Linked DNA regions of Struthio camelus. The protein of the gene in region 3 interacts with the protein of the main gene of each other region in a pairwise test. Links are inferred from orthologs where the notes say so. Each region holds a gene or a part of one and is shown on either strand. Other genes may lie near its edges. The genes, in order: CCDC120, CACNB4, EFHC2 and NCDN.

Region 1 (7,981 bases), on a different chromosome or scaffold from region 3:
CGCCGCCCGCGCCGCCTGCGGGGCCGCCCGGTGGGTGCCGGGCCTCCCGGGGCGGCGGCGGGGCGGGGACACGGGGCAGCGGGACGACGGCCGGGCAGGGACACGGGAGGGGTACGGTAACCGGGCAGGGACACGCCAGGCCCGGCAGGTACACGGGAGGGGTACGGTGGCCGGACAGGGAGTCGGAAGGGGTACGGTAACCGGGCAGGGACACGCCAGGCCCGGCAGGTACGCGGAGGGGGAGGGGGGACGGTGGCCAGGGTGGGGGAGTGCGGCGGCACGGGAGCCCGCGTGGGACACGAAGGCTCGGTACGGGGGCCCGGGGCCCTCATAGACCCCAGGGGACCCCCTCAACCACTCATTTCCCCCTTGGACTCCCGTTGCCCCCCCGAACCCCCATTTACCCCCCTAGGGTGCCCCCAGCCCCTCTTTCCCCCCAAGACCCCCATTGCCCCCCCCAGGCCCCTGTTACCCCTCCATTGCCCCTCAGCCCCTAAATGCCCCTCAGGACCGCTCCAACCCCCCCCCCTTCTCTCCCCCCAGGCCCCCCATTACCCCCCCCCAGTTCTCCTTATTTACTGCCCAGGGCTCCCCCAGCACCCCCCAGGCTGTACCTCGGTGAGGGGCCCGCGGGGGGGGGCCCCGGCGCGGCGCCGCGGGGGGGGTTGGGGCCTCTCGCCCGGCTCCAGGGGATACTCGGGGGGCAGCTTCCCCGTCAGCTCCTGCGCACGGGGCGCGGGGGGCTGTCAAGGGGGCCGGGAGGGCCCTAGAAGTGTCCGGCAGGGGGCATGGGGGTGCTGGGGTGGTCTGGAGATGCTTTGGGAAAGTCTGGAGGGGTCTGAGAGTGCTATAGGGGTCGGGGGTGCTGTGGGGGGTCTAGAGGGGTCATGGGGGGGTTCTGGGGGGGGCCCATGGGAGTTCTGGGGGGGTTGTGGGGATATGGGGGTGTTATGGGGGGTCCAGAGGGTGCTATGGGGGGGTCTAGAGGGGCTGTGGGGGGTCCTGGGGGGGGTCTGTGGGGATATAGGGGTGCTATAGGGGGGTCCAGAGGGTGCTGTGGGGGGTCTAGAGGGGCTGTGGGGGGTTCTAGGGGGGCCCATGGGGGTCCTGGGGAGGATCTGTGGGGATATGGGGGTGCTATGGGGGGTCCAGGGGGTGCTGTGGGGGGTCTAGAGGGGCTAGGAGGGGTCATGGGGGGCACATGGGGGTCCTAGGGGTGCTATGGGGGTCTGGGAGTGTTATGGGGGGTCCAGAGGGGTGCTGTGGGGGGTCTAGAGGGGCTGGGGGGGTCCTGGGGAGTCGGGGGGCTATGGCAGGGGTCTGGGGGGCCTATGGGGATGCTGGGGGGCTATAGGGGGTCTAGAGGGTCTGGGGGGCCCATAGGGATCCTGGGGTAGGAGGTCGGTTTGGGGTCCCCGCGGGGGGGTCAGGGGTCACTCACGGCCTCCTGGCGGCAGAGGCGTCGCAGCTCCTGCAGCCGCAGCCCCAGGGCCTGGCGCAGCCCCCGCTGCCGCTCGCGCAGCTCCTGCAGCCGGGCCGGGCCCCCCCCCGGCCCCCCCCGGCCCCCGCCGCCTGCCGGCCCCCCCGCAGGGTCAGTGGCGTCACCATGGCGACCGCCCGGGCGGGGGGGCAGGGGTCAGGGGCAGCAAGGGGTCAGAGGGCAGCAGGGGGGTGGGGGGCACAGTCAGGGGTCAGGGGACACCATGAGGTCAGAGAACAGAATGACACGGGGGTCGGGTTGGGGGTCAAGGGGCACCGTGTGGGGGTCAGAGGGCAGCAGGGGGGTCAAGGGGCACCACCAGGGGTCAGAGGGCACTGGGGGGTCAGGGGGCACTGCAGGTTGAGGGCAGTGCCGGGGGGGTCAGGGGGCACCACGAGGTCAGAGGGCAGCAGGGGTGTGAGGGGCACCCCCAGGGGTCAGGGGGCACCACCAGAGGTCAGGGGGCACCGCCACTGGGGGTCAAGAGGGCACAGAGGGGTCAGGGGGAACCGCCAGGGGTCAAGGGGCAACCGCAGGATCAGGGGGCGCCACAGGGTCAGAGGGCAGCGGGGGTGTGGGGGGCACCACCAGAGGTCAGGGGGTTTCCCTGGAGGTCAAGAGGGCACAGTGGGGTCAAGGGGCAACTGCAGGGTCAGAGGGCGCCATGGGGGCAGGAGGGGGGACGCTGGGGGAGGGTTGGGGGCACGGCGGGGTCGGGGGGTTCCTACCTGTGGGGCTGTAGGCGCCGGTGGGGAGGACGTGGCCCCTCACCTCCATGCTGGCGGGTGCCGCAGGCCGGCACCCATGAGCCCCGCGCCGCGCTGCGCCCACTGCGTCACCGGGGGCCCAGGTGTCCGGGGAGGGGCCCAGGTGTCCAGAGAGGGGACCCAGGTGTCCGGGGGGCCCGGGAGACCAGGGAGACCCAGGAGACCAGGGGGACCCAGGCGGCCGGGGAAGGGACCCAGGCAGCCGGGGAAGGGACCCAGGTGTCCGGGGAAGGGACCCAGGTGTCCGGCTCCCCCCTCGCCTCCGCCCCGGCTCCCAATTTCCGCCTCCCGCTTCCGCCTGCCAGGCCCCTCCCCCGGGGGCCCAGGCGTCCAGGTCACCCCTCCCCCCCCCCGATCTAGGTGTCTGGAAGACCCCTCCCTCTCCCCCTCCCCATAAGGGGCCCAGGCGTCCGGGTGTCAGTTCCCCCCCTCAGGGACTCAGGCATCCAGGTGCCCCCCGCAAGGGGCCCAAGTGTCCGGGTGTCCCCCCCCCAAAGGGACCCAGGCATCCAGCCCCCCCCATCCATGGGGCAGTGGGGGGGAGTCCTTCCCACAATGCCCTGGGACCCCCCAATATCCCATCATGCCCTGGGCCCCTGCCCCCCCCATCCCTTACCTCAACCCGGGGGGGCTCCGGCCGAGGGGAGGGAGTGCGGCAGCGCACACACGTGTCCAGGAGTCGCACACGCGTGTCTGGGGGGGGTCACACACGCGTGTGGTGGTGGTGCCTGCAGGTCCGGGGGAGGTCAGGGGGCCGGTGCCCCCCCCCGGCCGGTCCCGGGGGGGGGAGGGTGCATGGCCCGGGGCGTGCGACACGCGTGTGCGGGCGGCGGCCGGGCAGGCGGCACGGCGCAGGCGCGCACACGCGTGTGCAGGGCGGTGGCGGGGGGGCACACGCGTGGGGGGGCAGGCGGACGCGGCAGCCTGAGACACCAGGACGGTGGGGGGGAACCCAAGCGTCTGGGAGAGGGGCCCAGGCGTCCGGGTGGGCCCAGGCGTCCGGGGGAAGGGGCCCAGGCGTCTGGCCTCCCCCCACTCAGGGTCCCCCCTGTTGTCCCCCCCCCGTGATGTCACTTCCTGCCCAGCTCCCCCCCCCCCCGCCACTTCCTGCCGCTGGCCTGCTCGGGCCCAGCCCTGGAGGCTCCTGCCCCACGGCAGCTCCCGAGACCCCCTCCGGCCCCATAGCAGCCCCCCAGGGACCCCCGCAGCCCCATAGTGGCCTCCCGGGACCCCTCAGCCCCATAGCAGCCTCCTCCTGCCCCATGGTGGCCCCAGCCCCATAGCAGCCCCCTGGGCCTCCCCACGGCGGTCTCGCTCTCCAGGCTCCCCCCAGCCCCATCGCTGGCCCTGTAGAGGCTGCCCCGGCCCCGCAGCAGCCCTGCCAGCCCCGTAGCCGCCATGCTGGCCCCATAGCAGCCCCCCGCCGCTCCTGTCAGCCCCGCAGCTGCCCGTTGGGCGCGGGGCGGGGGCGATGTCCCGCGGGGCGGCCGAGGGGGCCCCGACGGCGCCCCCCGGCCCCCCAGCGGGGCCGCCCCCCGCCCGCCCCGCTGTCTACCTGCTGCTCGAGGAGCCCAGCGCCCCCGACGGCCTCCGGCTGCTCAGGTGAGCGGGCGGCCGGGGCCCCCGGATCCCCCCGGCACCCCCCCGTCACTGGATCCCCCCAGGTCCCCCTGGATCCCCCCTCCCCATCGCTGGATCCCTCCTGGGACCCCTGACCCCCTCCGGACCCTCCCCTCGGTTACTGGGTCCCTGCAGATCCCCTAGATCCCTCCTGGGATCCCCCCAGCCCCCTTGGGACCCCCTCAGCACCCCCCCAATCACTGGATCCCCCCAGTCCCCCGGCCTCTCCCGTCACTGGATCCCCCCCGGGACCCCCCAGTCACTGAATCCCTTCTGGGACCCCCTGACCCCACCGGGACCCCCTGTCACTGGACCCCTTCAATCCCCCGGGATCCCCTCTCCCCATCACTGGATTCCCCAAGACTCCCCTGTCCCTTGTCACTGGATCCCTCCTGAGACCCCCCCCCCGATCCCCCGAGTACATCTCCCCAGTCGCTGGCTCCCCATGGATCCCCCCAACCCCACCCCACCTGTCAGCAGATCCCCGGGACGCCCCTGTTCACAGGACCCCCCGATCCCCTCCGGGATCCCCTTTTCAGCCACTGGCTCCCCTGGGATCCTTCCACGTCCCTCCGCTCACTGGGCCCTCCGGGTCCCCTCGAGACCTCCTTCCCAGCTACAGGATCCCCCAGGGACCCCTCAAATCCCCCAGCATCCCCCTGAGCTCCCCCCATCACTAGGTCCCCCTGATCCCCTCGGGGATCCCCTGCGACCCCCTTGGGACCCTTTCCTGAGTCACTATATCCCCTGGGACCCCTCCAGCCCCTCTGGGACCGCCCCCAGTCGCAGGATCCCTGGGATCCCCAGCAGTGCTGCAGGGCGGGGGGTTCGGGGGGATCCAGTGATGGGAGAGGTTCAGCAGGATTTGGGGGGGGATCCCTGGGGATCTGAGGGGGGCTGAAGGATGGGGAGGGGCTCAGGGTATCAGGGAACAGAAGGGATAGGGGGATCCAGAGAAGATCTGGGGGGATTGAGTGGCAGGGGAAGGCTTTGGGGGGATCAGGAGGGATCTGGGAGGATCTGGGGTGATTGGGGGGATCCAGAGGGATAAGTGGGGATTGGGGGACCCAGAAGGGATCTGGGGGGACCTAGGGGGTGATTTGGGGGGACTAGGAGGGATCCAGGGGGATCCAGGAGGTATCAGGGAAATCCAAACGGATGTGAGAGGATCCAGGGATTATGGGGGGGGGGGGTCTAGGAGGGAGCAGAGGGATCTGGGAGGGATTGGGGTGGTTGGAGGAGGATCCATGAAGGACCGGGGTGTTTGGGGGGATCTGGGAGGGAGCGGGGAGACCCAGGAGGGACCTGGGAGGGATGGGGGAGCGATGAAGGATCATGGAGGGATTGGGGGGGATCTACGAGGGATCCGGGGGGCACCAGGGGGGCGGCGGCGGCGCTGAGGCGTGCCCCACAGCGTGAGCTCGCCGCTGCCGGAGTCGGGGATCGTGGCCGACATCGAGTGGGAGCGCGGCCCCCCCGGGCCCCCCGGCTCCCCCCCAGCCCTGCCCGGCCCCGCCCCTGGACCTGGACCAGGCCCTGCCCCCGGACCAGGCCCCACCCCTGCTGCCTTCTGCTGCCTCAAGACCCAGCCCCTCCCACACAGGTAACCCCGCCCCCCACCGCGACGGCCATCTTCCCATGCCCCCATGCGCGCTGCCATCTTGCCCCATGTGGTGGCCATCTTTCCACGCCCCCACGCGCGCTGCCATCTTGCCCCATGTGGTGGCCATCTTGCCCACACCCCCACATGTGAGACAGCCATTTTACTCACGCCCCCCACGGACGCTGTGGCCCTCCTACCTCCTTCCTCGGTGGCCGTGTCTGCTCTCAGGCCCCCCACAGCCATTTCCAGCCCCCAGACCCCCATGGCAGCCATTTCCCCCCCCCCCAGACCGCCATGGCAGCCTCTTCCCTCCCACAGACCCCCAAGGTGGCCATTTTCCCTGCTCTGGCCCCCCATGGTGGCCGTTTTCCCTCCCACCATGGCCATCCTGTCTCGCTTGGCAGCCATCTTGCCACACCCGGCAGCCATCTTGCCACACCCAGCAGCCATCTCCCCCCCCCCCCAGAGGCTCTCTACTAACGGCCTCCCCCAGCCCCGGGCCGTCGGGGCCCCCCAGCGACACACCCGGGCCGGGCCCAGAGGCGGCCATGTCGTCGCGGGTGCTGCTGCGGCAGCAGCTGATGCGGGCGCAGGCGGAGGAGCAGGAGCGGCGGGAGCGCCAGGCCGCCCCGGGGCCGCCAGGGCCCCCCGCGCCCCCCACCCCCTCGCCCGCCATCGCTGTCGGCGCCCCCCTGCCCCGGCCTGCCCCCCACGTGCCCCCCGAGGTCCTCAAGGTCAGCTGGCGCCCTGCGGCATGGTGGGGTGGTGGGGGGCTGGGGCATGCTGGGATAGGGGAGGATGGGAGATGCTGGGGTGGGGAGGACTGGGGCATGCTGGGAAAATGGGAGGGCAGGGGATGCTGGGATAGAGGAGGACTGGGATGGCTCCAGTACATGCTGGGAAATTGGAGGTCTGAGGCATGCTGGGAAATGGAGGAGCCTGGTGCATGCTGGGAAGTGGGGAGGGCAGGGGCATGGGGGGAATTCAGGGCCTCAGGGCCCCCCCAGCCACCTGGATTTGGGGGATTGGGGGTCCTGCCCCACCCCACCCCCCAGATCCGGGGGGTGACGCAGCCCCGCGCAGGTGCAGACCCACCTGGAGAACCCAACGCGCTACCACCTGCGGGCAGCCCAGCGGCAGCAAGTGCGCCAGTACCTGAGCTCGGCCCTGGGGCGGGCGGCCGGCGGCCCCCCCAGCCCGCCGGGGCCCCCCGCCGCCCCCGCCGCCCCCCACAGCCCCCTCGCCCTGCTCCACATCGGCTCCGGCTCCGAGAAGGAGGTGGGTGCCCGCCCCGGCGATCCACACGATTTGAGAGCGCTTTGCACGATTTGGGGGAGTTTCATGCGATTTTAGGGAGGAGTAGTCTGACCCCTATCAGGAGGCTCCGCTGGGTTGTGACACCCCCCCGCCTTTCTGCCTCCTGCCCCAGATCGATGACGTCATCGATGAGATCATCAGCCTGGAGTCGAGCTACAACGATGAGCTGCTGAGCTACGGCCCTACCGAGGGCGGCCTGCAGCTGCCCAGCACGGTGCGTGAGGGGGTGGCGCTGCCCCTTTAAGGCCCGTGGGGGCCTGGTCCAGCCAGAGCCACGCCTCTCCTTGCTGGTTGGGGGGGGGGTGTGGCTGCTCCATATAAGGAAAGGAGACCGAAGACGGCTCAGGGGTTAACCCTGTGTCCATATATGGTGGGGGCATGGCCTGGGGAGGGGCAGGGGCGTGGTCTGAGTGGAGGCATGGCCTCAGCCCCATTCCAGCCCCCCCACGGGCCTGTCGGGGGGGGGGGCTAGGGGTGGGTGTGGCCTTGAGGGCAGGGCCCGACTGACCCCACCCCCTCACCCCTCAGCTCCCCGCCCCCGGGCCCCTCCTGGAGGTGTTCAGCCCCCCGGCAGGGGGCAGCAGCTCCTGTCCTGCCGAGCTGCCCCGTGTCAAGGCCGAGCTCTCTGGTAGGGAGGGGCTCCTGTGGGGCAGGATGGGGGCTAGGAGGGTCCCTGGGGGTCGCTATGGGGGAGGACAGGGGCTGGGGAAGGCCCCTATGGGATAGGGTGCCATCTAGGGGGGGGTCCCTTTGGGGCAGGATGATGTCTAGAGGTTTTCTATGGGGCAAGATGGGGTCTGAGGGTGTTCCTATGGGGCAGGATGAGGGCTGTGGGGGTTCTTGGGGGGCCCTATGGGGCAGGATGGGGTCTCTATGGGGCAGGAGGAGTCTAGTGGGGGTCTAGGGGGTGTTGCTCAGGGATAGGAGGGGTCTGGAGGAGGTTCTTCTGGGGCAGAGGTGGGTCTAAGAGGACTCCTATGGGGCAGGAAGGCAGCTGGGGGGGTCCTTGGGGGTCTGGGGGTTCTCTGTGGTGCAGGAGAAATCTAGGTGGGTCATTGGGGTCTTGAGGGGTGCCTATGGGGTAGGAGGGGCTCTGGGGTCCCTGGGGGAGTCCCCGTGGGGCAGGTCTGGCTGTGGAGGGCTGATGACGGTTTCTGCCCCCCAGAGACGGAGGCAAAGGCGCTGCTAAAGGAG
Region 2 (7,303 bases), on a different chromosome or scaffold from region 3:
GCCACCACAGGGCTTGCTCTATAAAGGACAACTAAATAATCCTTGCGCACTTCAGTTCCCATTTGAATTCGGTAAACTGTAGGATGCAAGACGTACAAGCTGTGATTTATAATTCAATTAGACCAAAATGAAGGGCCTCAGGTATATGGCAGCACCGCTTTAGTGTATTATCTACTATAAAGCAATCCTTCAAGGAGGGGTTTCAGAAACAAAGACAGCAAACACGGATGCGTTGAAACACACTACAGTACTTACAGAGCACCCCAAGCCCTGCAACGTGAGACACACAGAAGGGTCTCAAGCACAGGAAACGTTTCAGCGTATTTTGAACCCCCAAAAAAAGGTATTAGGTGCAGCATAATTCAAATAGGACACCTTGCTAGTTTGTTTGAAAACCAGGCTCCTGCCCACAAGCAGCAGCCTTCCCGGGCACTCGCGTGAGCTCTCACACACGCAAGGGCTCAAAACCCCCACGCCGTGGACTCGCGCTTCAGACACCGCGTGCTCTGCTCCGGAGTGAAGCCGGTTATCCTCACTGCGTCCGTCTAAATCACAAACGAAACCAACCCAGCAGGTCAAAAACCTGAAGATCAAGCCCGTAATTGCCTATGCGAGTATGACCCAAAACCCACCCCTTCAAATGACACTTCTGACAACCGACGAGACCGTTCGGGACATCTCCAGAAGGGCCCACAGCATCTGCTGAACTGCCACAACGCACAAAGTGGGGATAAAACGCCTTGCGTATTTATTTAGCACTGTCGCAATTCTAAGTTATTTGGCTGAGACCACCTTATGCTTCAGATCCCGACTGTCATTGGGGCTACGGTGACGTCGCGCTTGACTCCGCTGGAAACGAGGGCTGGCTGCCAGTCGGAAATTGCTGCGATTCTGGCTTGGCCTGGAAGGATGAACGGAGAACACCACAGAAACCTTGCCGGGGTTATTTATATCTCCTTATCTGACCGACCAATCCAACTGACAACTTCCACGTCCTGCGCGAAACACGCTTCTACGCATGACACGCGGCCCCTGGTTTTTCAAGGACCCAGTTCTGCTTTCCTTGTAATTGCCTAAATTTCTGCGAATGGCACTGAGAGATTTGGGTGCCTGTGGAGTACACGGGTTCAGGCTCCGGGTAAATTTTTTGTACGTAAAAAGGAATAATCTCCAGAAACAGTTCATCTCATTTACTTTTAAAGCAAATTAACAAAGTTTCTCCAGCAAGCATCATTTAAGAGAGAAAGTAAAGCTTCGGTGAGACTAAGGATACTAGTTTTTACTTTATCGCGGGAGAGCTAACAGACAAGAGCTAAGACTGGAAACAGAAAAAGAAAAGGTAACTGTTAGCAGGAGGCTTCATCTAAATTGCTAGCGTTACTCCTGCAACGCCAGGGGAAGCAGGACAACTGTATAATTAGCACCAATAAGCCCGAAGCCCCAAACCGAGAGGCCAGTGCTCGTGACGCTGCATTGCAAGCATGTTTTTCAAAAATCCTCAACTCCTCTAAAGTCCCAGCTTTCATGCTTTCCGAAAAGTGTATTTCCTGCCCTCGCTGTTACAGAGAATACCTAGAAAACCAGCCCAAAGCGCAAGCTGCGGCTTAGAAACTGGAAGGCAAACACAATAAACCTAATTTCTAAAGCAATCGTTAACTTCAGACCGATTTTTTCAGGCCTCCCTCTCGCAATTCTTGGACACTCGGGGCTTACAGCGTTAAGTCCAGCTCTCCTGTGTTTCACCTTCCCCCAGAGGCCGGGGATAATCTGGTACAGAGGGAGACCGAGTAACCACAGCTTCTGTGCGCACAGAGCGAGGCCCCGAGCCGCACGGTCCCCCACAGCGGGGCTCTCAAAGCAGTGCTAACAGCAGCACAAAAACCCTCCTAAACTCAGTGCTTAAAAACAAAAAAAAAAAAACAAACCACTTTGATCACAACAAAAGAAGAACACGAGCGAGTCCAAATCCCCAAACTTTGCTAACTTTGCTTCTGCCTCAAGGAGATTTGTGCTCGCGATTTAAAACGAAGCTACGCAATAAGCCAAATAAACGTTATCCGTGGACGTCTTCAAGTCGTTTCCAACGGTTTACTAAGGCTGGCTCACCACGCAGGAGAGCGCCGTTCCCTAACGCCGCCAGCGGAAAGAGGCCGGGAACTCCTGCCGGGGCGCTCCGCGGCGCGAGCCGGGGAGGCAACCAACCCCAGCGCTCTCCCAAATGACTTTTAGGCAGTGCAAGGAGAAAAAATATATATATTTTATATATACACATACATATACACACACACATAAATATATATATATATGATTATATACGATATATACGTGTGCGTGTGCATATATACACGATTTTAGCAGGGAACGTGAAGCACGCTGGCCTGACCCCAGGTATGAAAATAAGTTGCGATTTTAGGTATTTCAAGGGGGACAAAACCACACACGCACACACAAGATAAGGAATAAAGACGCAAAAAGCACACCGCGCTCTGCGCGCAGCCCCCGGTGGGGGCAGCGGGCTCCGGGCGCCGACCTGCCCTCGGGGCGGCGCGGAGCGGCGCAGCGCGGGGCGGCCCCGAGGGCGCGGGCCGGGGCCGGGGCGGCGGCGCCCCGAGCAGCTCCCGCCCCGCTCCGCGCCGCTCCGCCGGCAGCGCCCGCCCGGCCCGCGGCCGCGCCCGGCCTCACCTGCCGCAGGATGAAGCTGGTGGAGGTGGTGCTGCCGTCGGAGCGCTTCAGGCGGCTGCGGCGCGTCGCCGTGCCCCTCGTCACCTGCGCCGGGGAAGGCGAAGACATGAGGGTCGCGCCGCCGGCCTGACCCCCCCACCCCACCCCACCCCACCCCACCCCACCCCGCACTGCCATCCCCGACCCGACCCGACCCGGCCCGGCCGCCCCCACGCAGCGGCACCCACCGCAGCCATGACAGCGAGGATCGGCACGGCGGGGCTGCCTGCTGCCTGCCGGCGAGCGAGCGCGCCGAGGGGCAGGGCGAGGAGGAGGAGGGAGGAGGCAGGGCGGGAGCAGAGCTACCTGAGGGGCGGGAGCGGCGGGCGGCTCCTCCGGCGGCGGCGGCGGCGGCGCGGCCCCTCGGGGGGCGGCTCGCGAGATGGCGCCGCCCGAGGCGGGAACCGCGGCCCCTGAGGCGGCGGCGCCCCCTGAGGCGGGAACCGCGGCCCCTGAGGCGGCGGCGGCGGCGGCCCCTGAGGCGGGAACCGCGGGCCCTGAGGCGGCGCCGCCCGAGGCGGGAACCGCGGCCCCTGAGGCAGCGGCGGCAGCGGCCCCCGCCAAGGCGACACCCCCGCACCCCTCCACGCGGAGAAGCCGTTTCCCCTGGCTGGGTGGAAGGGGGGCAGCCGAAACCGGGGGTCCCCGAGGCACGGGGGAGCGGCCGGGCCGGCCGAGGCGATAGCGGCTGAGCGTCGACGCCGGGGCTGCGGTTGAGCCCTGAGCCGGGGTGAGGTTGGCGGAGCTCGGCGCAGGGCGGGAGCCCCCCGCGTCGTCTGCTTAGGCGAAGCCGTGCAATTTATTCGGGCTCGTAAACTAACGGCCATCGCCGTAGCTAACGTGACGGTGTTCATTTTGCCGCGCAAACCGGTGATCGTCCCCATCCGTCCCGGAGAGCTGCGTTGCGCCACGTCCCACGCACGGCACCTTGGCAGACTCAGGCTGCAGATGCTACGGACCGGTACTGGACTGTGAACCCAGTTTGACCTCTTTAACCTGAAACGGCGCTGAAACCATTCCAGCCGTTTAAAAGGGCACCCTTGGGCCTCCCGTGCGGTGCCACCTAGCACTTCCCGAGCACCCGTCACAGCGCTAATTTGCACCGACTGCCATGCATCAAGAGCGCTGCAATTTGCAGAGGAATAAAAATAAAACCAGAGATTAAGTGATTAACGTGAAGTTTAGCAGGAAATCTGGGGAAGAATTGGAAACAGGACCTGGCTTTCCTGCTTCCCACTCCTGTGCTTTAACTACAAGTAGCTTGCACCTCCCACTGAAATGAGCTGATCTCACTGTTAAACCAAGCAGCGTTGAGCAGCCCCCTCTCCAAAAAAAAATTTTTTTTCAACTAACCAGGAAACGGATAGAGAAGGAAAGCGTACAGACGTATCAAAGCGCTACCATTTCCTCTAATGCACGGGGTGACGACTTTATCTACGTTTGTAGGCCATCCCTTCCCAGGCATTCGCTGCAGCCTTCAGTTTTCAGCAAGGATTCGTGCAGCTAAGGAAACCGGCGCGTGAAACCAAAGCAGCGTCAAGGCAAACGTCTGAGCGACGGGCCCAAATCAGGCTCTGAAAAGTGATCTCCACCGGCTACCTGCAGCGCACGCGCCCCTCTGGGGAACGCCTGCAGCACACAGCAAACACGTCTTTCTCTCCCGCTGTAGACACAAACTGTAGATTTTTGCAAATGCCTTGGGTGAAATTAGGCAGCCTGGTTTCTTTATCCAAGACGAATGTGGGTCATGAACGCTCTAGTCTAAATTAGATTTTTTTAAATTGTTTAATCATTAAACCAGCACTAGGAAGGATACTTTTCTTTAAACATTAGCATGCCTGAGTACATGGCTGGCTTCCCAAATTAAGATACTGTCCAGAAAATTAAGCACGTCACCTTCTCATTTTAGCAAGACATAGCAATGTCTAGGCTGAGATTTGAAAGGAAAAACAAGGCTTAAGTATTGCTTTTGCCAATAATTTAGTAAGTGCTTTGCTTTGGTAAGATGTAGATTTACTGTGTAACGTGACCTGAAATGAAGCCATGGGGGTTAGTAACTCAAAAGGATGTTGTAAATGAATGGTGGAATACAATGGTTTAAATATCTGAATAATAATTAATATAAGTTGTTACCAAGTGCATGCATTGTGTTGGAGTCCATTCACAGCATTAGTAGAGGATATCTTCAAAGCATAAGGAGTTATTTTGTGCGTGCTAGAAATATTTTTGGATAGACTGTTTAGCGTCTCCTTGAAAACCCACTGTAAGCCGTAATGAATCGTGGCTCTTAAAATTTGATTGTATTGCACATCCTAAGAGCAGTGTATTTGTTTATATGAACACGTCATTTGTGGTGAAGTGTAGTAGCACTGGTATTTATCAGTTGTTCCTCTTTGATTCCACAATTAACACCCAACATGTAGCAGTATTGTCACTCTCGCACACTAAGCCTAGCTTATAGGCAATTAAAGGTAACAGAGCACTGGTTCCCAATTAGAAAAGCTCATCAACAGAGGGGAACGTAGCACAGCTCCGAAATAAGGAGTCTCTTCCAGAGCACTAGCTTTGCTGATACCGGGTTGGAAGAGGATGAGCTGGAGCTGGTGGCCGACGTGCCACCGCCAATATGGGGAGGGCAGAGCCAGCGGAGGGCACAGCAGGGTCCGCCAGGGCCGGAGCCGCGACATTCACGCAACCATCCGCTGCCAGCAGCGTCTCGTGTCGCCTCTGCCTCTTCTCTCTGGCAAGGATTTCACCATGCCATGAACAGAAAACTCCTCACCTGTGTTGTTAAACAAATTTGCTTTATTCACACAAGGCAATGCACACACATTGCAGACAAGAGGCCAGATGGGTACTCCAATAAAACACATCCCTTTACTCTTAAGGCTGCAAACTCTTTAGGATGATTTTCTGCAAGAACTGCGATACATCTATTAACCAACAGATGTTCAACTCAAACCCCAGACAAAACAGAAGTGGAACCTTAATCTGAATTTAAAGTTCCGGCATGGTGTAACCTTGGGGGCCAGATCACTAGCTAGCAGATCGGCAGATGCTACAATTCCAGTGACTCTAACAGAAAATTCAAGAGTGCTCAGAACCTGCCCCATTTCTCTTTCCTTCATTTTTCATCTTTTCCAATTCAAAACAGTTTCAGTTAGCTTCATGTAAAATGTAACTGGTAAGAGCCACAAATTCTAAAAAGTTATTCATTCAACAGACACATCACAGTGTTCAGTGTAAGCAAGAGTAGTGCCTATTATTTCTTAGAAAAGATGCATAGATTAAAAAAAGAAAAATCTTCCTATCAGAAAATAACGACTAAGAGATTGCAGCACAGTCATGACCCCCCAGCTCTCCTTGCTAAAGGACAGCCTTCAGAAGGATTACGCTATTCCACGAGTCAACATTTACAAAGAAAAGCCAAAGTAAAATGAACACAGAACATTATTTTAAGGTTTACCTGTTACAGAACCCATTATATTTTTTAATATTGTAATTTCTATAACAAATTAAATAGACAATGCCTAAGTCACATCAAGGCTATATGAAACATTAAGATTTCCCAAAACACATCTCTGCATGGTGATATTAAAGACAAATTAAATTGTTGCTTTCAGCGGACTATAACTTAGACATAATAGCTTGCAAACTCATACTAGAAGAAAGTTTATCTAGTATTGATATTTTCAACACCCATGAAACAAATATATTACAATAAAATTCTCATTATAAAGTTGCACAAACTTCTATGTTAAACAATAAGAGTTTATATGAAAAAGCAGAAGTTATCTACCATTGATTCCTGATATAAAACAGTAGGTATAAACCTAATGTAGAAATCTGAAGTTAGATAAATCCTTTGGCAGCATGTTCCGTTACAATCAGGCCTTAAAAATAAATATGATAATGTATAGAAGTATGAAGAGAAAAAACAGATCCTTTTAACACCAAAACCCTCTAAATACACAATTTTAATAATTAAATTATTTTACACTATCTACAAGTTGCATATCACAGAATAAGGAATATAAGAGATGACAGAATGGCAGATCCTGCTTTTATAAAATTTCAGGCTTTAACAGTATGCTTATATGTAGCTGCGTAGAAAATCTCAGACAAATGAGTATATACATTATTTATATTTCATAAAATAATTAACTAAATGTAATCAAATCACATCTGTCTCGCTCTCGCAATTTAAGATACTGCTCAATATTTCCGTTGGATCAAATCTTTGAATCCAATAAAAATACCTACCTTTATCTCCTTTACTAATAAACGTGGATACTCTACATAAATGATAGCAAGATTTAGTTTGATTACATACCAGTTTGGAACAAAGTAAACTCTTTACAAAAAAGTTCCTCAACGATAAGAATTTTGAACAGCAGCATTGAAATTAATTCTTCTTTTTAAAGAACACAAGGAACAAGTTATCAAAATACTTCAGTATTGCAACATGTGTTATTTATACTAAGCTACTTCACGGGGAAGGATAAAGACAAATTAATGTCATGTCAAAAGGAAAGACAAAAGCTTCCTTCCAATTGCACAAATTTAAATACAAAATGATTCA
Region 3 (7,150 bases):
AAGAGCTGTGAAAGGATTTCTCAGTCCCCATTTGCAAAAGCCAATCCCTATTGCCATCAAATTAGACTCCTTGTTCCTAACTACCTTAAAGCTCAGTTTCCAGAAAAGTCACAGTCTCCTTACTAAGCACCTCCAGGTTAGACAAAATGGATATATCCACCTCTCCCCCTGCCTTCCTTCTTCATAGGCCCTCCTTCTTTGTAGGCCTATGTAAGAGGCAGGTGGAAGCATTAGAGGAAGACAAACAAAGATTTTGGCAGTAGTAGGCGCCGTGATAAGAGCTAGAGTGGAATTAATACTCATAATTATAAAGCGAGAACTGACAGGAACAGCAGTCACCTGTCCCCTGCCCTTCCTTCTTAAAGGAATACTTTGCCACTACTACTCCTGTGTTATATATGAGGCACTGATGGCAATGCCCAGATTACTAACAGATGTAAATACTTTTTTCCTATTCAGTGTATCTGTAGTAGACAAAAATTTTTTTCTTTAAATGTGTACTTCTTGGACCCTCATTAGTGGAACAATATAAAAAAAAAATCCAACAGCCAACAACTGAAGAAAGCAATAGAAATGCTTTTCAAGAGAGGGCAATGGTCAGTATTAACTCTACTGTAGCAAGGACTGCACAAAAAGAGCAATTTGGAGCCCTAAGAACAGTATAAGCATGGTTTTACAGTACCTTTAGCTCTCATAACATACATGTTTTGAGACTTATGTAATTCAGCATGGAGTGTCCTTCACTATACATAAGTAATTTTTCTCAAGCATATGAAGCCAAGCACTAAGCCATACCTCCAGAAATAGAGACATAATGGAGACAAAACCAACTCATTGCTGCTGTGGAGCTCCAGCAACAACTCCATCACACTCCATAAACTCCCTATCAATTAAGGTCAAATGAAGTCTGCAGAACAATAAAGTCCTGGGTAACACAGCTGAGCTATTCTTCTTCCATCCAGCACCTCACAATGGTACACATCTATTTCAATGTTACTCATGTGCCCACTTGGCCACTACCTGAAGCATCATATACACAACCAATTTGTTACAGTACAGAATTGAATTCAGCGAGAGAGATAGAGGAAGTGACTTAACAAAGGTTGCCAAGTGAGAAATGTATATGCTTTTAGAGCATCCCCTCGTCTTCTCCAGTAAAAAAAAAAAAAATAAAAGAATCGAGAACAGAACAGAACAGCAACTAGATTCAGTACCTCAGGTAAGAGAAGAACATTATAAAATGGGTAGGAAAATAGGGGCACAGGAGTGAAATTTTCTTATACACATTTTCTAACCACATGTGGACATAGCAACAAAAAGACAAGAGGAGGGCTGCAACTACCAGCAGCCTTTTCTTCTAAATCAACAGCACCCAACCTGCTATTTGTAGGGAATAAGTTGCTTGAAAGATCCTCACTGCTTGTAAGCTGGGCTTCTGCTGCAAGAGGACCTGTGTCTGGGTGCATCCATGCAATGCTGACACACCAAATCTGGCTGAGGAGTCCACATGTGTCTACACAGTTGCACGTTCCCTGTATGAGTACTGTGCAGCAGTGACCTGGGCAGCTACGGTTGCCCCCAGCTGGCAGAGAGGACTGCCAGAGGTTTTACACCGGACTGCACTTAACGTGGATGGATTCATTGCTCATAAAGTGGGCTCCCAGCTACGCTAACAGCACGGGGACATCTCGTATTAAAGGGGTACTGACACGCTCATGGTATCATTGGCATTAACACATGCATCTTGACAAATCATTTTGGAAACTCTATCTGCCTCTGCATCTCACCTCAATTACCTTATTGCCCCCTATAATCTTACTCTTTGAGCAGAACAGACTCAGAAGCCAGCAGCACCTCAGCAGCCAAGCTGCAGAAACTAGGGCTCCGATGCTCACATCATGATCAAAGTGTGAGAACAAGAGATTCCCTCCTGGATACTTTCATTTTAAGATTATTAAGAAAGCCTACTATGTTTCATCTGTCTCCCATAGGCATCAACCACAGTGCCATGCCCAAATTCTTCCTTACCTTCTGCACTATTTAATGATGCAGATGCTATTCAGCAAATTTTTTGCTATTTTTGCTGAACAAGCCTGAAGTAGTGATAGCAACCTTTTTTTTTTGGCGCTATTGCAGCTCACGATAAAAATACAATCTTCTCATATATTCACTGCTATGAGTACTTAATAGCACTGGCAGTTCTGAAAACCACATCATCACTTCTATTTTTTTTCCGCTTTGCAGAAACTTTTCAGTTTATTTACAGCATACTTGTCTCTCCCCACTTCACTTTGTTAGAGATGCGGCAGGAGTTCCAGACATCCAACGCTTACCTATTTGCAACGTATTCCCACTTTTAAATTAAGGAAGAGGGTTCTGATATTTTATATGTATAACAATATCCTGCTTTTCATCTCCTGGATGTGTGAAAGGCTTAAAAAAAAAAGCCTGATTTAAAAAAAAAAAAAAACTTTTAAAAACCACGGCTTTTTAAACTTGTGTGTTCCCCCAGGCCGTGCGTGTCATCATCGCAGGGCACCGCCGGACGCCAGGAGCACCGGGGAACCGCGGCGTGACCGCCGGGGCGGGCCGGGACAGGCCGGGGCGGGCCGGAAACCGCCCGCTCCCCGCCGAGGGGTAAAGCCCGGCGCCTCCCGGCCACAGCGGTCCCCACGGGCAGCGCTCGCTCGCCCGCCCGGCCCGGCCCGGCCCGGCCCGGCGCCCTCCCCGCGGCGGCGGGAAGGGGGATCGGGGGCCGCCGTCACTCACGTTCCGGTCGAAGGAGGCCCCGGGCAGGAGCGGCAGCGCCATCGCCGCCCCCTCCTCCGCCGCCGCCACGCGCTGTTGGGGGCTCCGTTGCCCGGAGACCGGCCGCCGACGTCACCGAGGGGCGGAGCGGAAGAAAGTTCCCTTCCCCCCCGCCCGCCCAGCCCAGCCGCCAGGGGGCGGTAGGGGGCCGCCGCGCCCCAGCCCGGGGGGAGGTGCTTGTTCTGGCCCCGCCCATCCCCGCCCCGCCCGGGATCGCCCCGCCCCGCAGCCGTTACCCCTGTCCGGCCGGCGGGGCTGCCCGGTGGCGACCGTTGGGCCGCTAGGGTGGGCGGGGCCGCGCTCGTGAGGGTGGCGGTTCTGGCCCGCCGGGGGGGCGTTGGGGTGTTCGCGGCCGGCCTGTGGCCGGAGTTGGCTCTGACTGCGCGTTTATTTGGCATATGTCGCTGCCGGCTTCTTCGTAAAATCTCCCCCAACTTACCTCCGCCCCAAAGCTGTGTATGCTCTGCGCAGGTATGCGACCCCTCCTTCCCCTGGGCAATCGTGTCTGGCTGAAAAACCACCTCCACCCGAAAGAATTGTGCAGCTAGGGTCACAGAGAGGGGCAGATCCCACCCTGTTTGCCGTTTTCTGCATGGATTAATTTTTAATGTGTGGGTTTTTGTGTTTTTTTTTTTCTTCTTCATTGCATGACTTTTTTATACCGCCTGTTTGACTTCGGGGCCCTGGCGGGTTTGGAGGAGGGGAGATGCTTTTACATGTTTTTGTTTGTTTTTTGCATTTTAGTCCACTGAGAGCAGGAAACTAGGTCAGTGGGTTTTCACTTTCTGGTTTCCCAGTGCTATATTATGCACCTGCATTTGCATTTGTAGTAAGGAAAGGTAAACATTTAAAATACTTTTTAATTGAAAATAAAAGGAACCATCATTTTAATCACATGCACTTCATATAGTGGGTGGTATTACACCCAAATTTAAATTTCAAAGAGAAAATATACTGAGAGTTCCTCACGGATGGCTTGGAAGGGAGGGTTGTTTTTTTCTTTGATAGAACTAACATTTTCCTTGTTAATAAGGGAAAATACATTCCAGATCACCTCCAAAGCATATTCCAGAGACCAGCAACCACGTTATGTTAAGTTCTTCCATTTTGCCTAAAGCTGTTTGTGTATATTTTTCTCTACTGGAAGTATTTTTAACAGAAAAATGAGTTTATGGACAAAATTGTTAGCTGAAACCCAAATATTTCAATTTTGATATGCCATCATGCTGTCTCCGAGGAGCCATACTTCAGTTACTTAATGTCCTTATTCTCATAGATGGAGTGATTCTCCCCTGCCATATTTCATACTCTGTGATGCATCAGACCATGAAATTCCCATAACATATCATCTCTCCTCCCTGGAAGAGAGGCTTGTGGAACAGCATGGGCAACGTATTCAGTCTAAATGAGTCTAGGAGGCACTCCCTCTAAAGCTCCCATGGAGCACTTGTGCAGCGTTTGCTAGCAGAATTGTTCTGTGGTCAGTATATTGTGATATCAAAAATTGCAATTTCGGTTAAAAATTTTCAATTTTTGCCATAAGTTACAAAAAGAGGAAAGAGAGAGAGAGAGAGAAAGAGAGTGAGAAAGAAAGAGGAAAAGGAGGAAGAAAGGAAGGAGCAAAAACAAATTCAGAAAGGCTTATTGCAGGGCATGCAACACTTTCCTGTACTTCAGCAGTGGACCACTTCTGCGTTTCCTGATGTTCTTTGTATGTTCATGTGATCCTCCAATATCCTTTCCAATATGTCTTTATGTATCTAACAAACGTCGTACAGGAGACTGCTGGCATAGTCATAAAAAGTACCTTTCGGCTTGGCAGCTTTCATTAGAAGGAAAGGATCTTCATAAAATGGATCCAAAGCATTTTAGAATGTGCGTGTACGTATATGTCTTTTGGAGATTTTTGAACCAGCATAGCTACTTCTTTATACAGAATCCCCATAAGCCCCATATCACTAATAGTACAGCTTCTCATTTGGGAAAATAACCATCATCAACACACAGTGGTGAAAAATTAGTGTATCTATCTTTGCACCTCACTCTTTCTGTAGAACTAGTATGTCCTGTTTAGTTTTTGTTTCTCATTACATAGCAGGGCAGTTGAAATGCCCGAGTCCTCCTCTGGTATCAATAATAACCAGTTGCAATAAGATTTCAGGCAATACTGCCAGAGGCTACCTGTATGAAAGATGTACAAGGGAAACAGCAGCAGTTTTTTAGGAGGGATACTGAAATACATGGCATCAGCAGAGAGTATGATGCATTTTCAACAGAAAATCCCATGAATCGTCCCTGACTTGTGGGTCAAATTTTCCTGCATAGGAGTACCTTCTGCTTCATCCCATAAAGAAGCTACAGGGAGCTGTGAAGAAGGGAAGCATCCTCCCAGTACACAACAGCATGCTTGCAATGTGATGTTTTCTACCAGACTTCAATCAAGTTTTGCTTTCAGAAGTGGGGGGAGGGGGGAAGTATATCCTACTGAGTCATTTTCTCTTACATTACCTTCCCTTTGGGGTTTCTCTCGCATTGTTATCTTTTTTGTTCCTTGCAGTATTCACTCAAGAATACAGACCAAGTGAAAACAAATTAATTTTAATGTCTTTTCTGGGAAAAATAAAAGTCCTACAGGAAAACCATTTTTGATAAAAGTGTTTTATTAAATGAAGATTGTTAATGACAACAAAGGCAAGCAGTAGGCAATAGTAAATTAACTGTATATTCTGACAGTACTCTTAAGGATAATAGTTACAATGGTGAAAGTACATAAGACAACATTAGTTGTACAGTTAAAGAAGGAAGAAAGCAGGAGGGAAGCTAAAGCTGTAGAAAACATGGAAGATATTATTTCAGTGTTAAAAAGAGATTCAAATCTCTTTTTATTGGAATTGACATTTACTAGCAAACTCCAAATCAGTAAAGGAATTCAAGTTGTAAACTTCTGAGCAAACTACAACTTTCCAGAAAAGGCCTCATTTTGCTCTTTCTGTATGGATTTGACCAAATGTCATTGGCTCCAGACTTCCGGACTCTTAGTCTGTTTGACTTGAGAGGAAGACCAGCTCCAACAAGTACGTTTCATATCTCTCTCTTCTGTGAACTCTTCAGGGAACTGAAACTTCTGTTCCAGTCATGTATTGATTGGAGCTGTGATAAGCACTTTGTTTTTCAGTTAGGATGACATAATATTTCAGAACATGACTCCCTAATTTGTACTTCCTTTACTTCAGAACAAACAGTGATCTGCGCTTGCATCAGGAATGGACATCATTCAAGAGTGTGAAGGGGAAAGACTTATCTTTGCTGGAGTTATGTCAGTTTGCATACACCAGGAAAGTTTGACTGAAATCAGCATTATTTAATTATTTTATTCACTGTAAAGGTATGTTTGTGCTTCGGTCACAGATATTATTTCATCCTCTTCCTGGGACTGGTTTTACAGGCCATGCTGAGGCTGGGCTGCCCAAAATAGGTTGTTCCCAGGCTGCCTAGTTTAAAGTGAATTATGGCCATGCATGGATTATCAGGCAAGCACACACCCAGACTTAAACATAACTGAAACTAACATACACTTAAGTAGGTAACAAAAATTAAGAATGGAAAATTCTTGCCTATTGATACGTTCTTCCTTAGAAAAATGGCAAGCACAAAACAGTCATCGCAGAAATCACACAGAAATAGGAATAGAAGAATTAAGCATGTGCACGCGCGCACACACACGTGCAGAATTGCAGCCCTAACGATAGCTAGTTAACTTAAGAGAAAAAAGGGTAATTCCTGAAGTGGCTATTCACTGCAGTGTAATATGGGTCAACTCATACTATCATTCTTCAAACACAGTGCCATCACAATCAATGAATGATCCTTAGAAATATTGATTCCTTATATTTTGCCATCTCTTTTATTACCTCATTCATTTTGTTTTCACCAGTCAATGAACATGTAGCATTTGAAAATACTTCTTCAAAGGGCACGAAACAACACTCTGACCATAATTTTTAGCTGCAGCTGTGGAGCGCTCCAAACAACCCACACATCCCACACAGGAAAAATCCAGCATCTGTGTGGCATTTATGTGGTCTGTGCTGGCCACGTACCACAAGGTCACTTAGTTTACCATTGCTGCAGTTTTCCACTACCCCAAGAAAGCGAGGTATCAAGCAGTACGTGGCCCATAACCTCTTTCTCTGGTTATACTGCAGAGAATAGGAGAACAGAGAAGCAGTTAGTCCCAGCTTGGTCTCACTGGAAGGTCTCCTTAGCTGGAATGACCTGCCCGTGGCTAATACTCCAGTTCAACAAGTCCTGAAGGCATGCTTGCATGTGAATAGCCTTGTGC
Region 4 (7,490 bases), on a different chromosome or scaffold from region 3:
CCCATAAGCAGCTGCAAGGCACGGTCAGAGCCATAACTGCAATTCACATAGGCCTGGCAGAGGGCAGACACTGTTCCTTTGGACACCAACTCTTTGGGGCCCCTGGGAGTGGCCATGACAGCAGTCAGACACTGGTACACATCATCGACCATGGATGAACTGTCCGGATTACAGGGGGAAACCAGGATGTCATTGAAGGTTGGGATCTTGTTCAGGATCTGGGAGTGGCCAGCTAACTCTGGATCGGTGCAGAAACACGCCAGCAGGGTAAGGCCAAGCGCCTGGAACATGTGCTCTGGGCAGCCTGCCGGGGGCTCCCGGGAGGTGAGCAGGCGATTCGGAAACGTGAATCCAATTGCATCAAAGATCTGGCGACGGGTCTTAGAGTCTACTTCTCCTGCTCTGACTGCTTTGGTGACCTGCAAGATAAAGCAGGGGCGAGTGGGCAGCATAAGAAGAGGCTTTGCTAAGGCTCTTTACAAGGTTGAACAGGTAAATAAGAAGCATAAAGAACTTTCATCTGTACAGAAAAGTGATTCCCCGACCACTGAGCTGGGTACTTGGTCAAAGTTCTAATCCACAGCTTTACCAGAGTGCTTCAAGAGGTGTTGATTAATGCTCAGGACACCCAGGGAAAGGAGAGGCTATGTCCCTTTTGCTAGCGGGAACATCAGGGTATAAGCACTTGAAGCATCTTGCCCCCAAACTCCCAACATGTCAGCAAGCACAGCTGAAAACAAAACTCAGGCATTCTCATCTCAAACGCTCCGGGCTAAGAGCAAGTTTTGCCTTCTCTACTTGCTTTTCCAGCCAGGCTGTCTATCAGAGAGCAGCCAGGCCTGTGTTCTTCTGAAGCGATTACACTCAGTGGCATTATCCCAAAGCAGATTCTTACCAGAAGCAAGGCTGCAAACTGCTCGCTGTCGTTTTTTGCATCCCTGAGCACATCAAGGCACCTTTTCAAAGTTAAATTTCTGGATCCTTCAGCACTGGGAGCAGCTCCAGAGTTTGAAGCCATGGTGATCAGTTCAGCTGCAAATGCAGAAAGCCAGCGTTTAGCAAAACAGAAATAGATGGGAAGATAAAAGAGCTGCAGTGAAAAATGAGCATATCCTCTGCTCTTCCCTAGCCCCTACATAGAGAATTAGGAGATATTCAATTATATTAATAAGAAATGCTCCTCTACTCAACGTGTGCCTTCCTGAAAACGTCCTTGCTGAAAGGAGACTGAGGAATCAACACTAGTAGTTAGATTTTAAGATGAACTGCATTATTTATGGTTAGTAAATAAGATCTGTAGCCATACAAGCTGCTACACATATAATCAGCTGCAAAAATAGTTGGCTGCAGACATCAAGGACTCATTCTACTACATGCAGCAGGGATCTTGTTTTGAAACTTGAGGTTTCAAATAGCGTCTGACGTCTTATGACTGATTGCTTTGGAAGACATAGTTGGATCTGATATTGCAGGGGCCTGTAGCTTTATACCTGGAATCCTACGCTAGCACTAAGGAAAGGAAATTATTTCAGATCAGCACTTTGATAAAGAGAGAGATCATACGGTTAAAATGGGTTCCCGATCCCGGCCCCTGCCCCGGCCTCCGCCGCCGCTCGGGCACGGAGCACGCGGGCCTCGCCCCGCCTCCCAGCCAATCCGCGGGCCGCGCGCTCGGCGCCGGCCAATCGCCTACCGCGGTCTTAGGCGGTCACCGAAGCCGCCGCCGCCCCCGCGCGGCGTGTGGGCAGCTCGCCGGCGGCGGTGCCGCGCCGCCCTCGCCCGGTCGCTGTGGGAGAGGCGGCGGCGGCGGCGCCGCGTGGCCCGTGGCCGCGGCTCTGGCGGGAGGCGGCAGCCGGCTCGCGGCGGGAGCACCGACACTGGCAGGAGGCGGGCGGGGCGGCGCCGGCAGAGTCACTTCCGCTTCCGGAGGGGCGGCGGTGCGCTTCCGGGTGAGAGGTGAGCGGGCGCCCGCCGCCGCCAGCCGCCCCCATGGCCGCGGCGCAGGAGGCCGCGCCGCCCCCCGGCCCGGCGCGCTGGAGCCCCGGCCCCGCCGCCCGCCCCCTGCCGCCCGCCAGCAGCCCCGCCCGCCTCACCGCGCACCCCTGGTACGTGCCGCCGCCGCCCTCGCCCCGCCGCGGCCCGGGCAGGCCCCGCCGGCCGCTCCCGCCTCGCTGGGCGTCGGGTTCGTTTGAATAGGTGGCGACAAACCGGAGGAGTTGGGCGCGGGCGGTTTCCGTAGCCACGCGTGGGCCAGACGCCCGCGGCTTTGCTTTATTCCCCGCCGAGCCCCGTGGAATTTGCTTTTCGCGTCTCTTGCGGGCGTCAGCGTAGCCTGCTGTTCCCGCTGTTCGCTGCCCGGGGCTTGAGCCCGTTCTCTCGTTACAGAAAAAGGGTTTTTAAACGGTAGACTAGTAATCAGACCTCCGATAACGTTCCCCGTTGATTCTTCAGAAACGGCCGATCTAATTCCTTGTGCCTAATGATGCTCCACTACTCCTTGAAAAACGGGAAGTGTTTATTTCTTGTAACACTTTGTTTTCCTGTCATGCATTCCGCAGAGGAATCTGAGCGCTCCTTTAGCTGGCTTGGGTTTCACATCAGGGTTAGAAACGCTGAGAACGATCATCAGTGCTGTCCTCATGTGTGCCCTGCAGAGCGAAATATAGGGCAAAATAGCTCTTTAGCTGCTTGTTTCTCCGCGTTGCTGTGTTCTTTTCTCTCTTTGTTTCTGGTTGGTACCAGCCAGCACTGACGTGCAGCTGATGACATCGCCCAGCAGCTGTACTGGGTTTGTCAGTGTCTGTCTTATGCTAGCAGAGCCAACTGGGTACCTCTTGCCCATGGCGTATTCGAAACTGAAGTTTCCCGAATGCATCTCTGAAATTCAGTGTGTTACGGTACTAGATGTTTTGCGGTTAGTGCTCCATCTGCAGAAGTGGTGTGGTCTGGAGGGGAGATCATGGGGCTGAGATGGTCGTGTGCTGCAGTTGAACAGCTGGAAACTTTGCTACTTCAGGTTTCATTTCAGTGTTGCAATACTGATAGTTCCTTAGCAGCAGTTGGACTAAGTCACAGCAGATAAGATTAGACATTCCCTTTCCTGCACAAATGTTCCGTGCTCATCACTTTGTTGGCTGGGTCCTTGCAAAAACATACCAATTGCTGATACGTGTTTTCTCTTTCTTATGTGTTTCTAGAGCCCTGTTGCTACCCACAAAGGCCATGGAGAAAAAGTTGGAAGTCAAGTTCAGCATCGGCAATCGGTTTTTATCACAATACTGCCTGGGAAAACCTGCGAGGCATCTGGGAAGTCTGCACCTGTTCTACTTATGTGCTTGCCTGTGTGCCTTGTGCTCCTCAACAGGTGACTTTTCTGTTCTCCCTGGGACTGTATCTCTATTTTTATTTATATTTATCCTTCTCATTTAATAAAAATATTCAGAAAAGAAGGTTTATCCTTCTCATTTAATAAAAATATTCAGAAAAGAAGGTGAAATTATTAGCTGTTAGGCAGAGTAGCTGGTAAAATAATCTTGGCAGTTTGTTACTGAATAAGCTATCAAAAAGGTAGTGTATCCAAAACACTAGGTAGTGAAGAGATGAGGGGACTTTTTATAACACTGTATCATTCTAATAGCCATCTGCTATTGTGAATACAAAGTAGCCAGCACCAGTGTGTCTGCAGTAAAGTGTCTGTCTGTTCCATACAGCTAATGTTGGGGTTCTTCGTGCTTCGTGTTTGCTCTCAGGCATTTGCCTGCATTGCATAAAGCTCAGCTGAGAATCTGTTTTCTTTTTTTTTTTTTTTTTTGCAAAAGGAATAAGCGATATTCTGGGAAAATAATTTCATCTAAGGAATACTTGAACTTGTTTGAGAAGCCAAGAGTGTTTTCCAGCAGTCTAATATTAAAGACTTCCCCACAAACACAGTGTATCAATAATCTGAATTTACCTACGCATAATTGTTGTGCTTGGTATTTATTTCCTGTCCAAATTTGAGCAACCATCCTCCTGCCCAAGTAAATAACCAGATTGGTGACTTGTATGGACATTTTCATATGATGGATTTTTTTTTTTGTTTCTTTTTGGTTTTGTATTAAAAAGGTTCAGAGTCTGACTTTTCAGACAGAAGTGTTAAGTTCCTGTGAGTGCTTTTGGGGCCAAATATTTACGAAGATGATGATGTGTTCTTCCCGTGTGTGTACCTAGCACTTACCAAATGTTAGTGAAGATAAGAAAGTTTATACTGTGTGTTTTGGTTTTGTTCAAATTGTGGTGAACTATAGGTTTGAGACAGTGGTGACTTCGATATATAATTAACCTGTGTGACAGCTGCCGACTGCTTTGACCTTGCTGGAAGGTTGCCACATCTTAATGTTAGCATGATATGAAAAGCAGATTTTACTTTATTTTTTCTTTTTTTTTTCCTATTCTTTTCTCTCCATGGGTGGATGTGTTGTAGGCTGCTACAGAGTCCCTGTTTCACTGGGCTTTCCTGGATACTTACCAAGTGGTAGATTTGATTAAGCTAATCAGTTGTGTGACCTTAATCTACTGATTTAGAACCTGGAAAGATGCATTTATATTTCTGTTCTTAGCAAAGTGTGCTCGGTACTTAGTGTTTTGTTGGTGTATCTGATGGATTGCATGTTTCCTTGTGAACTGGACTTCCTGCTTAGTGTTTCCTGTCTTTAGTAATATTTCAGAAGCCTAGAGCAAGAGCTGCAGATCATATGTTGTGCTAACAGGGTGTTCCATACAGCGCTACAGCATTTGAGGGCTTGTATACTTGGGAGAGTTAGAACCATGGAGGCTGATGTGTGTATAGAAACAAATATAATTATTTGTGACATAGCTCTGCTTACGTGGATCTTTTTCCACGCTGGAGTCCATGTTCTTTTGGTTTTCATCTGAGTCACTTATCCAGCAGAGTTAAACTGAAGAGGAATCATGGTTATTTAGAAATCGGTGCAATCATGCAGACTTACATAAGAGGAACTATATTGACATAATTGGTTGCACGTAACAGATTAGAAAAAGCCTATACAGTCGAGCCTTTAATCATTAATGCCTATTGATATCAGATTAACTGCCAAAATAAGCTTGTGAACCTGAGCTCATTCATAGAAACTGTACTTAACCCTTTCATTCACCTACTGTTCAGCAGGAACAGGAACTCTGCAAGTTGAGAAGGGCAGCATTTTATCTGTTGATATACTAAAATAAATAAGCTGTTTGGAAATGGCTGAGTATGCACAGTTTGTAACAGTCAGGTGATTTTTATTGTGTAAGCTGGGTAGGCTGCTGGGGTTTAGGAGAAAACTTGTCCTCAGGGACATTCCTCCTGGGAGGTTTCTTATGCTTTGCTCTGAAGGTGCTGGCACTGATGCTGTCAGTGTCTAGATTTGCTGCTCTGCTAGCCTGACCAATCCGGAAGATCCTGTGCACTGTTGCATAGCGTCCAGCACCAGGAAGTAGAAGAGACTGAACAGATTGTTTGTGGCTCTGTCTTATAGCTTTCCACAAATGTTGCGTTATACCAGTAGTGCCCAATTCCTCCTGCTCTGCTATGTAGCTTATTTTAATAGCAGCGAAGGGCCGTGACTCTGACTTGTCATATGCCCAACATTGTGTATAGTAAGTAGAGCTGCTGCTCAGTCTTCTGTCCTGCCCTATGCGATGCCTGTCTGCTCTCTTGGAGAAGGCAGCTAGGAGATGGCTGCATTAATGGTTCTAGTGAACCTTCCTCCCCCACCCCCATGTATGGTTTTGTTTTGTTTTGTTTTTTAAGATCTGGAGCAGTCAAAGTTGGGTCTGGGCTGAATTAGTAGCTCTGGCTGTAGTCACAGCTGCCTTTTTTCGTTTGCTACAGGTACATGTCCACCTAGTGAAGGTCCTGCTGGAAGACTACAAGTAGCAGTTGGTGGCTTTTCATCAGAACAATTATTTCAGCCAGTAGCGTGTTCCTGCAGGACAGAAAGAAGTGTGGTGTAAACAGGCCAGGTGAATTTTCCTGGCAGACCAGAGATGCAACACAGGTGTAGACTTGCTTTCTGCCATGGCCCTTTAAATAGAGTTGTGTGGATCTGTGATGCCCACCAAAGACCACAGGAATTGCGTAGATGAAAATTAGTATGGTGGGTGAAAAAAATACATCTATAGTGCTGTGCTAGCATATTATGACTTGCATATTAACTTCTCTTGTTTCTGTGATTTCATTTTTAAGCTATCCATATACAGCACTTCAGAAACCATCTTGGTTTGTTTCAAATAAACATGTTCTAGGTGAGCATTAGCAGAGCTTTAGAAATGAAATCTGGACTAAGTGCAATTTAAATCTGTGCGCCTTGATTTAACAGTAGGCATGGCTCTGTTACACCTAGGAGATGCCTACAGTGATTCAGGTTTGAGATTTTAGATGAGTACATTTAACACTTGTATATGTAGGGATTTTTCAGAGCGGATGTCTTCCCTGGGAGTACTTTTTTTTTTTTTTTTAAAGTGTGCCCCATTTTGTGCTTACTTCCAAGTCTGCTGTTAGAAAGCCCCCAAAGAATTTCACTGGGCTCTGTATCAAGCTTTAATTAGTATGGTATGTATGAGCCAGGGCTGACATCTGAGGAGGCATGGATGAGCATTTGTCAAGGAGGAGGAAGAATGTTAGAGATGTGGACAGCAGGGTAGCGTATTTCTCTTTCACACAGGGTTCATTAGAGACAGTGCTTCACCTTTAAAAGAAAGTGAATTTTTAGACTAAATTGACTCAATGGATAAGATCCTTCTGAAATTCACAGCAACAGCATTATCCTTCCATTTGTAACTTGTTTCCCAAAGTCCAATCTTTGTGTGTGTATACATTCCCTGTACTCTGTCCCAACTCCAGACCCGTCAGGTTAGTGCCAGCTGCCTGTCCCTGCCTGTGTGCACAGTGTCATCCCAGGGTGACTCTCAGGCCAAGCACTTCAGAGTGTAATGAGGTCAGCTGTTGGCCCTGGGCAGGCAGGCTGCCACTTCTTGCTCTCGAAGGAAGGGCTCTATGTTGATGAAGTGTGACAAGGATGGTGCTGGTTTTAAAGGTGCTGTCGTGAGCTTCTCTTTCTGTTGAGCACCTGCAATGTTTCATGTAGACATTGCATTTGGACTTTTCTTGAGTGAAAAGCTTTTCATCCCTCCTTGCAGTTGTGGGTTCAGAAACCCACTGAGCGCACGGGTCCCCAGTGGCGAGGTCACACATCTCAAGTGCGTTCTGTGGCAGCTGATGCTGGCACTCTGTAGCCCTCTGTTTGCAGACTGCCTTTGCTGAGCTGGCCTCACACATGAGCTATAAATAAAACTTCTGCTTCCTCCTTTCTGATGTCTCAAAACCAAACTCTCCTTCATGGGGGTATGAGTTCCCATTTTGGGTTGAAATTTTTGCTGGTGTAGCAAGAGATTCTACGCAAAAGGTACGTGAATTTGACTGTCACTTTTCATTTTAAACAAGCTAATCT

Evidence for each region.
Region 1: the proteins of EFHC2 (region 3) and CCDC120 interact in binary tests that used the Homo sapiens proteins (3 or more experiments, as listed by UniProt). The link is inferred for Struthio camelus from reciprocal best matches to the Homo sapiens genes EFHC2 and CCDC120.
Region 2: the proteins of EFHC2 (region 3) and CACNB4 interact in binary tests that used the Homo sapiens proteins (3 or more experiments, as listed by UniProt). The two-hybrid records come from large-scale screens. The link is inferred for Struthio camelus from reciprocal best matches to the Homo sapiens genes EFHC2 and CACNB4.
Region 4: the proteins of EFHC2 (region 3) and NCDN interact in binary tests that used the Homo sapiens proteins (3 or more experiments, as listed by UniProt). The two-hybrid records come from large-scale screens. The link is inferred for Struthio camelus from reciprocal best matches to the Homo sapiens genes EFHC2 and NCDN.

What each region holds. Positions count from the first base shown.
Region 1 is NC_090979.1:318,898-326,878, forward strand, and holds the start of CCDC120 (coiled-coil domain-containing protein 120), read right to left. Parts: upstream 3,003-7,981; 5' UTR 2,864-3,002; intron 2,858-2,863; exon of another isoform or gene 2,302-2,857; 5' UTR 2,258-2,301; coding exon 2,209-2,257; intron 1,573-2,208; coding exon 1,442-1,572; intron 723-1,441; coding exon 615-722; intron 16-614; coding exon 1-15. Other genes in the region: TFE3 (transcription factor E3), read left to right, coding at 3,719-3,849, 5,282-5,470, 5,937-6,204, 6,554-6,748, 6,900-7,001, 7,316-7,415, 7,953-7,981. UniProt on the Homo sapiens protein: Centriolar protein required for centriole subdistal appendage assembly and microtubule anchoring in interphase cells. Together with CCDC68, cooperate with subdistal appendage components ODF2, NIN and CEP170 for hierarchical subdistal appendage assembly.
Region 2 is NC_090947.1:44,648,912-44,656,214, forward strand, and holds the start of CACNB4 (voltage-dependent L-type calcium channel subunit beta-4), read right to left. Parts: upstream 3,009-7,303; 5' UTR 2,919-3,008; coding exon 2,910-2,918; intron 2,767-2,909; coding exon 2,683-2,766; intron 1-2,682. UniProt on the Homo sapiens protein: The beta subunit of voltage-dependent calcium channels contributes to the function of the calcium channel by increasing peak calcium current, shifting the voltage dependencies of activation and inactivation, modulating G protein inhibition and controlling the alpha-1 subunit membrane targeting.
Region 3 is NC_090942.1:126,806,786-126,813,935, reverse strand, and holds the start of EFHC2 (EF-hand domain-containing family member C2), read right to left. Parts: upstream 3,006-7,150; 5' UTR 2,812-3,005; coding exon 2,770-2,811; intron 2,449-2,769; exon of another isoform or gene 2,334-2,448; intron 1-2,333. UniProt on the Homo sapiens protein: Microtubule inner protein (MIP) part of the dynein-decorated doublet microtubules (DMTs) in cilia axoneme, which is required for motile cilia beating.
Region 4 is NC_090964.1:9,874,451-9,881,940, reverse strand, and holds the start of NCDN (neurochondrin), read right to left. Parts: upstream 3,015-7,490; 5' UTR 2,915-3,014; coding exon of another isoform or gene 2,763-2,914; 5' UTR 2,422-2,762; exon of another isoform or gene 2,049-2,421; intron 1,929-2,048; exon of another isoform or gene 1,694-1,928; intron 1,653-1,693; exon of another isoform or gene 1,491-1,652; intron 1,033-1,490; 5' UTR 1,019-1,032; coding exon 896-1,018; intron 420-895; coding exon 1-419. Other genes in the region: KIAA0319L (dyslexia-associated protein KIAA0319-like protein homolog), read left to right, coding at 2,763-2,914, 3,198-3,364. UniProt on the Homo sapiens protein: Probably involved in signal transduction in the nervous system, via increasing cell surface localization of GRM5/mGluR5 and positively regulating its signaling. Required for the spatial learning process.